Kluyveromyces lactis: one gene and its partners. The protein of the gene in region 4 interacts with the protein of the main gene of each other region in a biochemical or structural test. Links are inferred from orthologs where the notes say so. Each region holds a gene or a part of one and is shown on either strand. Other genes may lie near its edges.

The links.
Region 1: of the proteins of HMT1 (region 4) and NPL3, one has a biochemical effect on the other in vitro, tested with the Saccharomyces cerevisiae proteins (12 studies listed by BioGRID, with this or other methods). The link is inferred for Kluyveromyces lactis from reciprocal best matches to the Saccharomyces cerevisiae genes HMT1 and NPL3.
Region 2: of the proteins of HMT1 (region 4) and HRP1, one has a biochemical effect on the other in vitro, tested with the Saccharomyces cerevisiae proteins (4 studies listed by BioGRID). The link is inferred for Kluyveromyces lactis from reciprocal best matches to the Saccharomyces cerevisiae genes HMT1 and HRP1.
Region 3: of the proteins of HMT1 (region 4) and NSR1, one has a biochemical effect on the other in vitro, tested with the Saccharomyces cerevisiae proteins (2 studies listed by BioGRID). The link is inferred for Kluyveromyces lactis from reciprocal best matches to the Saccharomyces cerevisiae genes HMT1 and NSR1.

Annotation. Positions count from the first base shown.
Region 1 is NC_006038.1:75,997-78,975, forward strand, and holds NPL3 (mRNA-binding protein NPL3), read left to right. Parts: upstream 1-1,442; coding exon 1,443-2,471; downstream 2,472-2,979. Other genes in the region: CYM1 (pitrilysin family metalloprotease), read right to left, coding at 1-613. UniProt on the Saccharomyces cerevisiae protein: Involved in mRNA processing and export. Required for efficient splicing of a large set of pre-mRNAs by efficient co-transcriptional recruitment of the splicing machinery. Remains associated with the mRNP during early steps of translation elongation.
Region 2 is NC_006039.1:1,093,261-1,096,819, reverse strand, and holds HRP1 (Hrp1p), read right to left. Parts: upstream 2,247-3,559; coding exon 534-2,246; downstream 1-533. Other genes in the region: TRM11 (tRNA (guanine-N2-)-methyltransferase), read left to right, coding at 3,256-3,559. UniProt on the Saccharomyces cerevisiae protein: RNA-binding protein, which is involved in the polyadenylation-dependent pre-mRNA 3'-end formation and cooperates with the cleavage factor CFIA complex and the cleavage and polyadenylation factor (CPF) complex.
Region 3 is NC_006039.1:990,293-993,487, forward strand, and holds NSR1 (Nsr1p), read right to left. Parts: upstream 1,878-3,195; coding exon 540-1,877; downstream 1-539. Other genes in the region: KLLA0_C11517g (gag-pol fusion protein), read right to left, coding at 2,782-3,195. UniProt on the Saccharomyces cerevisiae protein: Involved in pre-rRNA processing. Specifically binds nuclear localization sequences. Candidate for a receptor at the nucleus that may be involved in both RNA and protein transport. Binds telomeric sequences of the type (TG[1-3])n in vitro.
Region 4 is NC_006038.1:617,112-619,945, forward strand, and holds HMT1 (protein-arginine omega-N methyltransferase HMT1), read left to right. Parts: upstream 1-1,256; coding exon 1,257-2,303; downstream 2,304-2,834. Other genes in the region: DNA replication protein PSF1, read left to right, coding at 219-854. UniProt on the Saccharomyces cerevisiae protein: S-adenosyl-L-methionine-dependent protein-arginine N-methyltransferase that catalyzes both the mono- and asymmetric (type I) dimethylation of the guanidino nitrogens of arginine residues in a variety of RNA-binding proteins such as heterogeneous nuclear ribonucleoproteins (hnRNPs) and small nuclear ribonucleoproteins (snRNPs).

The DNA of each region.
Region 1 (2,979 bases), about 540 kb from region 4:
AGCTTTCTTGAAACTTAATCCAGAAATAATAGTTAGCATTGGATACTTGACCCTTCATTTCATTGTATACAACACCTTTGAAACCTATATCGCTGTTTGGATCATCAACCTTAGTGTGTTCAAGCCTCCAACCTTCTTGTAGGAAATCTTGCTGATTCAACAATGGATTTAGAGTTGCATCAAGGTAAACGTCTCTTAGATTAGCAAAATCCGTCTCATTAGTGGTAGCAAACGGGTAAAAAGTATAGTCATGACCAGTCATAGCGTTCATGAAGTTTGCCAACGATCTGTTTAACATCTTGAAGAACGGATCGCGAACAGGATACTTATGAGAACCGCAAAGAGTTGTGTGTTCCAAAATATGTGGCACACCAGTTGAATCCGGGGGATTGGTTTTGAATCCGATACTGAACACGTTGTTGTTATCATCTCTATCAATATGTAAATGTTGTGAACCGGTTTGGTTATGCAATAAATCCACGGCTGTTAGCTTTAGTTCAGGGACAGGAAGTAATCGTTTCACTTCATATCCGTGAAAAACGCCACCTACTGGGTACTTCCTCAGCGCCCGAGACTGTGCATATTTTGTGGCATAGTTACGAATTTGAAACATGGTATTTTATAATGCAAGAATTCTCCACCTGGATTTAGATTCAATATTCCTTCGCTTATATTTCAAACCCAGTTTTTTCGATCTTGGTATATTAATCAATGATTACTGTCGTCAACGATTCTATAACGATTTATTGCGAATAAATAGATAAAAGAAATGCAAAGAGAAAACGAACGGTCAAAATATCGGAAATATCCCCTCTAAACTGCTAGTTCGCTTGGCTTTTCGTTTCTTGCCTCTGAGATAAATTCGCTAAATTGACTTATCAATATGTTAAGAGACCTTTGGCATGCTCTAGTATCTTTCCTCCAGGATTCCATACTATCGAAGAAAAACAGCTATGAACTACGGTCTCACTTCTGACGAGTTAAAAAAATGAAAAACTGAAGTTCAAGTCACGTGATACATGTGTCACTCTTACCTTTCTGTATAACAATGGTAAATACAAGTAGCAATGAGAGCATTTGATCAATATAGCCTCTCAGATCGTATTTGGTAGGAGTATGACTTGTATGAGGGCTTATATCTGTGCATGCGATACTTATCAGCACTCATTCTAAAAAGACTTGTACCGAGGATTCCAGAGTTTTACCCTACCTACCAAACCTTGTTTGACACTATTCTCTTCTGTCTTTTCTTTTCCCGATGTTCATTTAAAATTTTCACTTTCTCCTATATATAAAGACATATTTAAAACCTGGTTTTTGGAAAAAAAATTCTACTCCATCATCGTTGAGTGGCGTTGCAGTATTGTTTTTGACTAAGATATTAGTGTTTCACTTCTTTTGCTCAAGGTACAACCAAGAACACTTACTCGCGAAATATCAAGATGTCTGACGTTCCTCCTCCTCCAGCTGTCGAAGAAGAAACCTATGAAAAGCCATATGAAAAGCCATATGAAAAGCCATATGAAACTGCTCCACCACCTCAAAGTTATGAAAATTTCAATAATAGAGTTGATGACGATGAAGAGCTTTCTGATACCAGACTATTTGTGAAGCCTTTCCCTCCAGATGTCACTGATGCTGAAATGAAGGAAATTTTCGAACCTTTCGGTGCTTTGAAGGAAATAAAGATTTTAAATGGGTTCGCTTTTGTTGAGTTTGAAGAAGCTGAGTCTGCTTCCCAAGCTATTCAAAACGTTGCCGGTAAAATGTTTGCCGACTACCCATTGGAAGTTGTATTTTCCAAGAAGTTAAAGCCAAGATTCAGAGTCATTATCAGAAACTTGCCAGAAGGCTGTGCTTGGCAAGAATTGAAGGATTTGGCCAGAGATAACCAGTTAGAAACTACTTTCTCCAGTGTCAACACCAGAGACTTTGACGGTACTGGTGCTCTTGAATTCCCAACCGAAGAGATCCTGCAGGAAGCCATTGAAAAGTTGAACAACATCGAATTCCGTGGTTCAGTTTTGGCTGTTGAAAAAGATGAAAACCCACCACCAATCAGATCCTCTCGTGGTCGTGGTGGTTTTAGAGGCCGTGGCGGTTTCGGTCGCGGTGGCTTTGGTGGCCGTGGTGGTTTCGGCGGTCGCGGTGGTTTCGGCGGCCGTGGAGGCTTCGGTGGTCCAAGAGGTGGCTTTGGTGGCCGTGGCGGTTTCGGCGGTCGCGGTGGCTTTGGCGGTCCAAGAGGTGGCTTTGGCGGTCGCGGTGGCTTCGGTGGTCCAAGAGGCGGTTTCCGTGGTGGCCGTGGTGGCTACGGTGGTCCAAGAGGCGGTTACGGTGACTTTGGTGGTCGTGGCGGTGGTTACGGTGGCCGTGGCGGTTACGGTAACAGAGACTACGCACCAAGAGAAGACTACCAAAGAGGCAGCGGAGAAGGCTACCAAGCGCGTGAAAGATCTCCAGTTAGAGATTAGAGGATTTCTGGAGTGCACAAATAGCTTTCATCTAAGAATGTTGTGAAATTACTTCAAGCATCAAACCGTGTGTCCCTACCATTATCATCGGAGTTGGTATTAGCTTTCTTTTGTCACTTTTAACAGAATTATTATGCTTACTATCTTAGGGAGTTATAAGCTCTTGTTTTCGCCCGTTGTTTTCATACTTTGTCGTTACACCAAGAAACCTCTGAACTTTACTTGGAATTTGAATTTACTCACAATTGTTGGGAATGAATTGAAGGTATCAACCTTGATGGATTGAGAATAAAAAAAAAAATTAAATATTAGTATAGGAAAAACCTCCCATCATCAGGAAAAAATCTTTTTACTTGTGGATCCGAACAGAACATCAAGGATCGTGAGGAGAAGGAAAAAATGATTATGTTTTTATAGTGGATTATTATTGTATTGTTTTATTATTTATCTTTGCGACTAGAAAAGAGGTCTTCCAGAGTAAGGAAGAAGTAGTGATGATCATGGAAAT
Region 2 (3,559 bases), on a different chromosome or scaffold from region 4:
ATTGTGAATGCTAGTATATGTCAAATTGGAATTGATTTTGATATTTTTTCACTTTTGCCTATATTCAAAATCAGATTGAGAAGCAACCTAACCTGTACCAAATATACATGAATACTGACAACTGTATATACACACACTGACCATTCGGTGTGAGGTCCAATGTCAGGTTGAATAGTAGTTGATAAACTGTAAGTTTGATTGATATATACTGATTTACATGTTATTATATAAAATTAAGCTTTGATTAGCAATAAAAGTTGAATAAAATTGCGTTGATGCTTCGTGTTAACGTTCATGAATCAGGTAAACAGAGTATGGTAAAATATTGTGTGACATTTGCAGCAAGGAATGTGATTTGATCCGATGCTTAGGAATCATTGCTTTCATTATATTTCTATTATTACATGGTTATGAGAGGCTCAGTTAAAGAAATGGATGGATCGCAAATATAACAAGTAACACAAAGTATCCTCTTGCTCGCGGCTACATACGCAGATTTCTTTACCTTATAATAAATCTAACATACAAGCAGATTACCTGGCGTATGGGTGGTATCCACGTCTATCTCTGCTTCCACCGCCATACCCATTACCACCACGGCGGGAATCACGATCACGGCCACCACCTCCGCGATAGTTTGAAGATGGGCCACGACAGCTGTCACGGTCGCGGTTAGACGAGCCATAACTGCTACGATCAGAGTTGCGATCGTATGCTCTGTGTCCTGAACGACGAGAATCATCACGGCTTGATGAATTATCGTATCTTGAGTCATCTCCAGATTCTACTCCACTGTTACTACGGTTGCCATTATTTGAGCTCCCAATAGTAGTGACACCATTACTGTCGTCGTTGTGTTGAGGGGTGGATGAATGGCTTGGTGGAGATCCTGCACCACTTTGAGAAGGTTGTTGGCCTGCAGGAAGACCGCCCATCATACCCATCATCTGTTGCATTTGTTGCATTTGCTGTTGGAACATTTGAGTATAATCGATACCAGTTTGTTGTTGCATTTGTTGATAATACTCTTGCATCTTAGTGTAGTATTCGTTCATCGATTGAGGGTTGAAACCAGTGGCCATCATAGGATTGAAACCGCCTGCCATCATTGGATTTTGGAACATCTGATACTGTTGCATTGGGTTGCTCATATTTTGTCCCATTGGTTGAGTCATTTGAGGTTGTTTTTGCTTTTGTAATTGTCTAGGTTCAGCTCTCTTGATTTCTATTTGTTTACCCTTGAACTCAATAAATTTGTTTTGACAAACTCTGTCAACTGCATCTGGTGTATCATAAGTAATGAAACCAAAGCCTCTAGATCTACCAGTATCTTTGTCTAACATTAGTTGGGCATCAATGATGGATCCCCATTGAGAGAAAAATTCTTCAAATTCTTTTGGTCTGACGTCTGGACCAATACCACCAACGAAAATTTTACCAGTCTTATCTTGTTCTTCCCTTGGAATGGCTCTCTTTGGATCGATAACCTTACCGTCTAAGATATGTTGTGTTTTAACGACTTCATCGACACTAGAAGCGTTTTCAAATGTCAAGAACCCAAAACCTCTGGACCTACCGGTAGCAGTGTCCTTCATAATCTTAACTTCAGCGACTGCACCGTATTTGCTGAAGTAATCACGTAAACCCTCTTCGGTGGTTTCCCAATTTAGACCACCAATGAACATCTTGTTAATGTCACGAGACAAATCAGCTTTGATAGCCTTTGGTTCATGCTGAGATGCAGTTTGTTGCAATTGAGACATAGTCTGTTGCAATTGTTGCAACTGTGACATATCTGGCATACCTGGCATCTGTGGCATTTGAGGCATCTGCAGCATTTCAGGAACGGAAGCACTGTAGTTTTCCTTGTTATTGTTTTCAGCCTTGTCATTATTGGATGCAAGATTAGAATCTGGTTGATTATTTGAAGAGGCAACCTGCTGTTGCAGTTGTGACAGGTTAGATGACAAAGCCTGTAAAGCTGCTAGTTGATCTAATTGAGATGTTGCCGCGGTGGTGTTTGTGCTACTACTATTAGCCTCTTTATTGGTAGTTGAAGCTTGATCTTTGTGATCATCTGTCGAGCTATTACTAACGTTATTTTGATTATTATTACTTTGAGTATTATTTTGATTATCTGTAGATGTTGCAGTTGATGAAGTCGACTCGTTATTGTTCACCGTGGTTTGAGCGGTATTTTCATCACCGTAGATGTCGTTAAAATCTTCATCGTCTGATAAACTCATCTTGAATGCAATATTTCAATTTCTTCTTATTCGTCTACTTGTTGCACCGTTCACTTTACCACTTGGATTTTCTTAGTTCTGTACACTAAATATGATAAATCTGCAGTAAACGTTTGTAAATATAAGTACGATAACGCTGTGTAAGTTTCCTGCGCCGTTCCTCTTCCGCTCTACTTAAATGATCCTTGTTCTTTTTGTCTGTATGGGGATTTTATAGCTTAAACACAGCAACACACAGCAAAGTTTAATGTTATACGTTAAAAGTAGTAGTAGACGATAATAAAGTAATAACTGAGATCTAATACAGTACGAAAATAAAACAAATATGAGCTATTTCCGGTAACAATGGTTCCTCTCTCCTAGTTTGCAATTTCTAAAACTCTATTGAAAACAATCGGTATCTTATAAATGAAAAGAAAAAGAAAAAATACAGTGTAAATATTCTTTGTTCCGTTGATTATTTCGATTCGCTAATGATATACGGGTACTTCTATACTTTTGAATCCTATATCCTTCCCTAACTCGTTTTAGTGACTTGATTATCTCTTTAGACTGTCTAATCACCTGGAAAGTGGTAAACAAACAGGAAGAAACATTCTGCCCCTTCAATTTTTCTCCTGTACTGCTTTTATATTCAAATTAATTTTTTTTTTTTTCCAATGGCAACAACTTGGCCCCAAAAATTATTCGCTGTTCTTAGTGAAAAATTCATGCTTTAGGGCCTTTTTGGTTGTCATTTTGTCGATTTCGCCTTGCAAAAAAAGAAACTTTTTGACAACTCGTCCCAAAACTGCGCCCAAACAATCAGAAACACCGGGTAATGAAATCCTATATACCTTTCTTTACTCATTCAACGCCGACTTCAGCTAAACATGCAGAGAAAGCGAAATATCGAGATGAGCTGCGATGAGATGAGATCCTCTTTAATCGAAAGTGCGACTTCTCAGTTAATCACTTTTCGTACTTCCGGATTTAGAATTAATACAAACGCCAGTTATAACCATCATCTATGGCTAGGAAGCGGTATCTTTTGTTTATGGTGCAGGTGCACTTAAATTTCCGTCTAGCAGAATTGGAATCACTAGCGGATCTGCATGGAGTTGATGTCGACTTTTCGAGTTATTCTGTCGATTCACCATTCATGATAGTTACCTTGGAAAATGATAAGCAAGCCAGTGATTGGATTAGGAGATCGGTGCTTACAAGAGCCATTTATGAGTACTGGGGTGAAGGTAATACTTATGAGTCGTTGCACAAGAGTGTCCAAGCTCATCCCGAGTTTGAACAGTATAAGAGCGCAAATGAAAGAAAGA
Region 3 (3,195 bases), on a different chromosome or scaffold from region 4:
TGTGTGTGCGTGTATGTGTGGCTCTCAAATTGTCCATATCTTTTGAGGTGGGTTACGACTGTCATACGAGTGTATTAAGGGATTCTGTAATGCAGTCAATTGTCTTGAAACTTGTCTTCTCTTTTTTCTACACCTTTAAAACAAGATTCAAAGATGAAGCTTAATTTTACAAAATGCACAGATTCGAGACTCTTTTCCATAGACCTTCTTCGCAGACTTCTAGTTCAAAAAATATTAAAAGCTACTATACACACATATACAAATGATTTAAAGAAAATAAAATAAGAAAATAGAAGATGAATGCGATTCAGTGAAGTTTACAATGAATCAGTTGTTGATCTATAGATACAAATAAGATGACGAATGGTTATTCTTGTGATTTAATTTTTTTTTATTTTTATTTTTTGACACTCTATTGTTTCAATGGATGAGAAATGATCTTCTTTATTCCCAAGAGCATGTTAGGATGATAATGAAAAGTGTTTTCGACTTTGAGGAATGAACTTTGTTTAACTCTTGTGTATTAAGTATTCAAAAATTCAATCGAAGGTCTTTTTGGTACCTTGGAAGGAAGCAGTTTGTCTGGTAGCTCCTAGAGGAGAAGCGTTAGAACCGGAACTGAATTCTCTACCTCCTCTGTTACCACCGAAGCCACCTCTACCGCCTCTGCTGCCGCCTCTACCGCCTCTTCCACCTCTGTCAGAACCACCTCTGTTAAAACCACCACGTTGGTTGTTGCCGAAGTTTTGCTTTGGAATGGAGTAGTCTAATCTGACTGGTCTGTTATTAATGTATTCACCTTGTAGACCTTCAAAGGCTTTAGTGGCATCTTCAATACTACCGTATTGAACGTAACCGAAACCCTTTGGTTGTTCAGTTTCTGGGTGAGTTGGGATACGAACAGAAACAATTTCACCATATTTACCAAAGATCTCGTACAAGTTGTCTCTGTCAGCTTCGAAAGACAAATTACCCAAGAACAAAGTGTCAGATGGTTCAGATGGAACGTCGCCGAACTTCTTTGCTCTGTCGTCTCTTGGAGCACCAGCTGGCTTCGAGGTAGACATATCACAGTTGATTGGTCTTCCGTCAATTTCCTTACCGTGCATTTCCTTGATAGCTTTTTCAGCGTAGGATTTGTCTTCAAAATCGACATAACCATAACCACGGGATCTGTCAGTACCTCTTTCGTACATAACTCTGGCACTAATGACACCACCGATTGGTTCAAATTCGGTCTTTAACCATTCATCGTCAATGGACCATGATAGTCTACCAACGAAAATAGTAGCTGGTTCACCAGCCAATTCAGTCTTTGGCTTTTTGCTTTCAGATTTCTCTTCGTCATCATCAGCCTTACGCTTGTTAGAGCTTTTTTCCTCTTCTTCATCGTCATCAGATGAAGAGTCAGAATCAGATGAAGAATCAGAATCAGATGAAGAAGCGGAAGATTCTTCCTTCTTCTTTTCCTCCTTCTTTTCTTCTTCTTCGTCAGAATCAGAGTCGGAGTCTGAGGAGGAGTCGGAAGAAGAGTCAGAATCGGAGGATTCTTCTTTCTTAGCTTCTTCCTTTTCAGATTCGGAATCAGAATCAGAAGAGGATTCGGAATCAGAGGAAGATTCTTCCTTCTTAGTTTCCTTCTTTGGTTCTTCTTCTTCGTCAGAAGAGTCAGAAGAGTCAGAAGAGGAAGAAGAATCGGAATCAGAAGAGGAATCAGAGCTAGAATCAGAGCTAGAATCAGAGCTAGAATCAGAGCTGGAATCGGAGCTAGATTCTGGTTCAACAGCCTTCACCTTCTTTTCATCTTGCTTCTTTTTTAGCTTTAGGTCCTTCTTGGAAACCTTCTTGGAAACCTTCTTGTCAGTTGATTTACCCATTATGTGAATTGTATGTTTGAGCGATGATATTATTCTGTACTCTGTTAATAGATAATCAACAAGACTCGATGCTACAAGAATTGCGTTTCAAAATAGCGTTATATCAATAAATGTTAGTTAATGAAGAAGTGTTACTGAGCAGGTATAACTTATCTTCTCTTATAACAAACTTCTTTTTCCAATGCGATGAGCTGAAGAGTACAGAGACAATAATTTTTCACTTAAATCGTTTCTTTTCCGTTTTTGTTTGGGTTTTTTTCACTGAAAAAACTTTTCATCACATTTTTTATTGAAAAGAAATTACCATGAAAATTCGTGATAATTTGGTGCGAGGTATGGGTTCTTTTAATTTCTGGCGCGCGACTGCGTTCTCTCCAAGGTTGTATTCCTCTGATCCGATGGCAGTTGATGAAATGTCAACTGTGAATAATCAGTGATGAATAGATGAAGAAAACCTACAAAGCAGATATTCATGACATATAGTTATTAAATTATAGTGAAAATGGTTTTAAATTACGAGAGAGTATTGATGTTAGTTTGTAATCTATTAAAAAGTACATAAAGGTATACGTCACAAAATACACTTTATAATTGTCCTCAATAATTTCTTAGTTCATTGCCCAATATACTTATAGAAAAAAACCGAGAGACTTTTATAATCGATAGTGCACCCACCTTGTGTTGAAAGAACATGGGAAAAAATATTTAGGGTCAAAGGATTTGCTTCCTTTAAGTAAAACAGGAGAAATAGAGATGCAGATATATCAGTGTTTAAATTAATGTTTGTGTCAAAATTGAAGGTAAGAATGAACTTGAAATGGTTAGTGTTGGGTTAGAGCTTTAAATACGATGAGATTGATGCCCGATAATAATTTCTCAATTGTATTTATTCTTCGCAATAAACTCAGAGTAGAGAGATTAATCCCAGAAATACTCCAAATATTGTTGAAGATCTTGCGTTTATGGAAGAAGCAACACCTTGAAATATTGAAATCGAAGAAACTGCTCCAAAGCTTACCGTAGAAGAACTTTGTTCTGTGTCTGTTTTTGGTGCTTGAGAGGTAAAAGATTCCAATGAAGGTTCCATAGGTTCCGTAGTTTCATTTGGTGCTGATGATGGTGAAGAGTTTGATGGTGAAGTTGAAGTTGTTAGATCAGTGACTGGAACAGTGACTGTACTTGTAACAGTCGTACAGCGTGTTCCATAACAGTTCTCTGATGTGATGGTAGTTTCTGAAAGTGGTGTGGAATAGATCTCTGTTGTTTCGGTGGTACCTGATTCAGTACTTGCCTCAACATTTGTTTCAATACTTGATTC
Region 4 (2,834 bases):
CTTGTTTTCTTTGTTGTAATTTGTTCGCGTCTAAACAGTATCGTTTCACGTTAAAGTCCTTAAATTTTACGTGTTTTCCTCAAAGCGATTTCAATCTAGAGAAGAGAAAAGCTATGAACAACTTTTACAGAGATAACACAGAGGGAAAAGAACGTGCTAAAAGACCTGGAACTGGATTCAAGTCATTGGTTTTGATTATCATTGCCATAGTACCGAAAATGTACGGAGATCTCGCTAACAAGTTGATACTAGAAGCAAAGAGAACGCAACAGTTATCTCAAGCTGGATTCAACAAACAGCAATTACCAGTATATCAAGACGAGCTAGTCCGTGGCATCCTGAAAGAGGTTGGATCCCTCAAGAAGAACGTGGATTACCTACGAGAACAGCAGCTTACTGATCAGGATAACAAAGTCGCTCAATGCCAGTACGTCGTTGCTATGCTTTCGATGGAAAGAAACAAAAGATGTCTATTAGCATACCAAAAGATGAGAAGTGAGATGCTAGACTCAATGGTTTGGGATAACAACGGGATGGAATTTTCTTCTGCCATATCAAACCACCCGAATCTATCATCGTTTGATTCCTCTGTTTTATCACATGCAGAACAAGAGTATCTCAAAGAGTATGCACAACTACTTACCGAATTGAAATCGGGAGAACTCTCAGAAATCGATTTGACTGGGATGTTACAACCGCCGAGCGATGTGTTCATCGACGTACGAGTATTGAAAGATGCAGGACAAATAGAAACAGAGTACGGTGTATTCAACCTGATTAAAGATTCCCAATTTTTCGTCAGACAATCCGACGTCGAAAGACTTATACAACAAGGATATCTGCAGAAGATATAGCAAGGCAGCTTTTTTCGCCGAATTCTGCACCTTTCATTGCAATTCTGTAGATATCATTGCTGGTGATATTGCTGATGCAACCGTTCCAAATGCAACTAACTAGCTTTACCTCACTTTCACTATGGGGAATGCACGATTTCTTTTTGGATTTCTTTTTCTTGCAGCTCATCGCCTTCAAAAATTTTTCAGTTTTGTATTTAAGGCAACGAGGCATAAGTAACAGAACAGTACTTGATCTGGAACCAACTTGTTAGAACGGTTATTGGTTTGATTGCATTGAGTATAGTGTACAGCTTATTGGGATATAATATTTGTCACCATACATATACCAAGACTTGTGTTTCATCTTTAGTCTAATTGTTGAGCATATCTTTCCTAATTGTAAAGCTAATAAAATAAAGGATGTCCAAGACTGATGTCACTGATTCTGCTACGCAGAAAAAAGAATTGAACGAGTATGAACAACACTATTTCACCTCTTATGACCATTTCGGTATTCATGAAGAGATGTTGCAAGATACTGTGCGTACGCTTTCGTACCGTAACGCTATAGCCCAAAATAAGGACTTCTTTAAAGGTAAGGTTGTCCTAGATGTTGGATGCGGTACTGGTATTCTATCTATGTTTGCTGCAAAGAACGGTGCTAAGCATGTCATTGGTGTTGATATGTCTAGTATTATTGAAATGGCTAAGCAAATTGTTGAATTGAATGGTCTTTCAGACAAGATCACTTTGTTACGTGGTAAATTGGAAGACGTTGTGTTGCCTTATAAGAAGGTTGATATCATTATTTCCGAATGGATGGGTTACTTCTTATTATACGAATCCATGTTGGATACCGTGTTGTATGCACGTGATAACTACTTGGTCGAAGGTGGGTTGATCTTCCCTGACAAGTGTTCCATTCACATTGCTGGTCTTGAAGATTCTAAGTATAAGGGCGAAAAGCTGAACTTTTGGCAAGACGTTTATGGGTTCGATTACTCACCATTTATCCCATTGGTGAAAAGAGAACCTTTGGTCGATACAGTGGAAAACAGTTCTGTTAATACTACCAAATGTAAATTAATCGAATTTGATCTTAATACAGTGACTATCCCAGATTTGGCATTCCACAGCAAGTTTAAATTGCAGGCAAAGAGACAAGATTTCATTAATGGGTTGATTTCATGGTTCGATATTGAATTCCCAGCACCAAAGGGTAACAAACCTGTCACTTTCTCCACTGGTGCCCATGCTACATACACCCATTGGAAACAAACCGTCTTCTATTTGGAAGACGATTTGGAATGTGAAGCTAATGATATCCTAGAAGGTGAATTGACCTGTTTACCAAACAAAGATAACAACAGAGATTTGGATATCAAGATCGTGTACAATTTCAAGGCCTCTGGTCCAGACGGTAAAGAAAGGTCAAGAAAGGGTACCAACACTTACTTGATGCATTAAAATAGTAGCTATGTTGTTTTTCTTACTCAGTCCATTATTTGGGGCCCTTTTTACGTAAACTATTCGTTTACTATTCCCATTGAGGCTCAGATCACCTTCAGATTATGTTTATTACTTGGTTAATTCTGAAGGAATGCAGCTCTTTCAACCTTTCAATGCCTTCGATTCCATTGTGAACTTCACTATTATCATTAACATTAAGAAACAAAGATAAAATAAAAAGGAAATGAAAGCCCCTCTCGCAATTCCAAGCAGTTTGTAACAGTACTTAGCAACCACACCCAATTATTTCCTGCTTAGGCTTCAAGATTATATAATTCTCTATGTATTATATTTTGCAAATTTGATAAGCATTATAGACAAATGTTCACTCCGCCTCTTGCAATAAGAAAAAGACAACGCTCGCTAAAACAATGAATGATTTGAGAGACGCTACATAGAGATATATACGTAGAAACTAATTTTAGTCTATAAGCAGAGCTCAAGCTCTCTCACAACAAGATTGTTTTGGGATTGGGAAGAAGTAGCAAT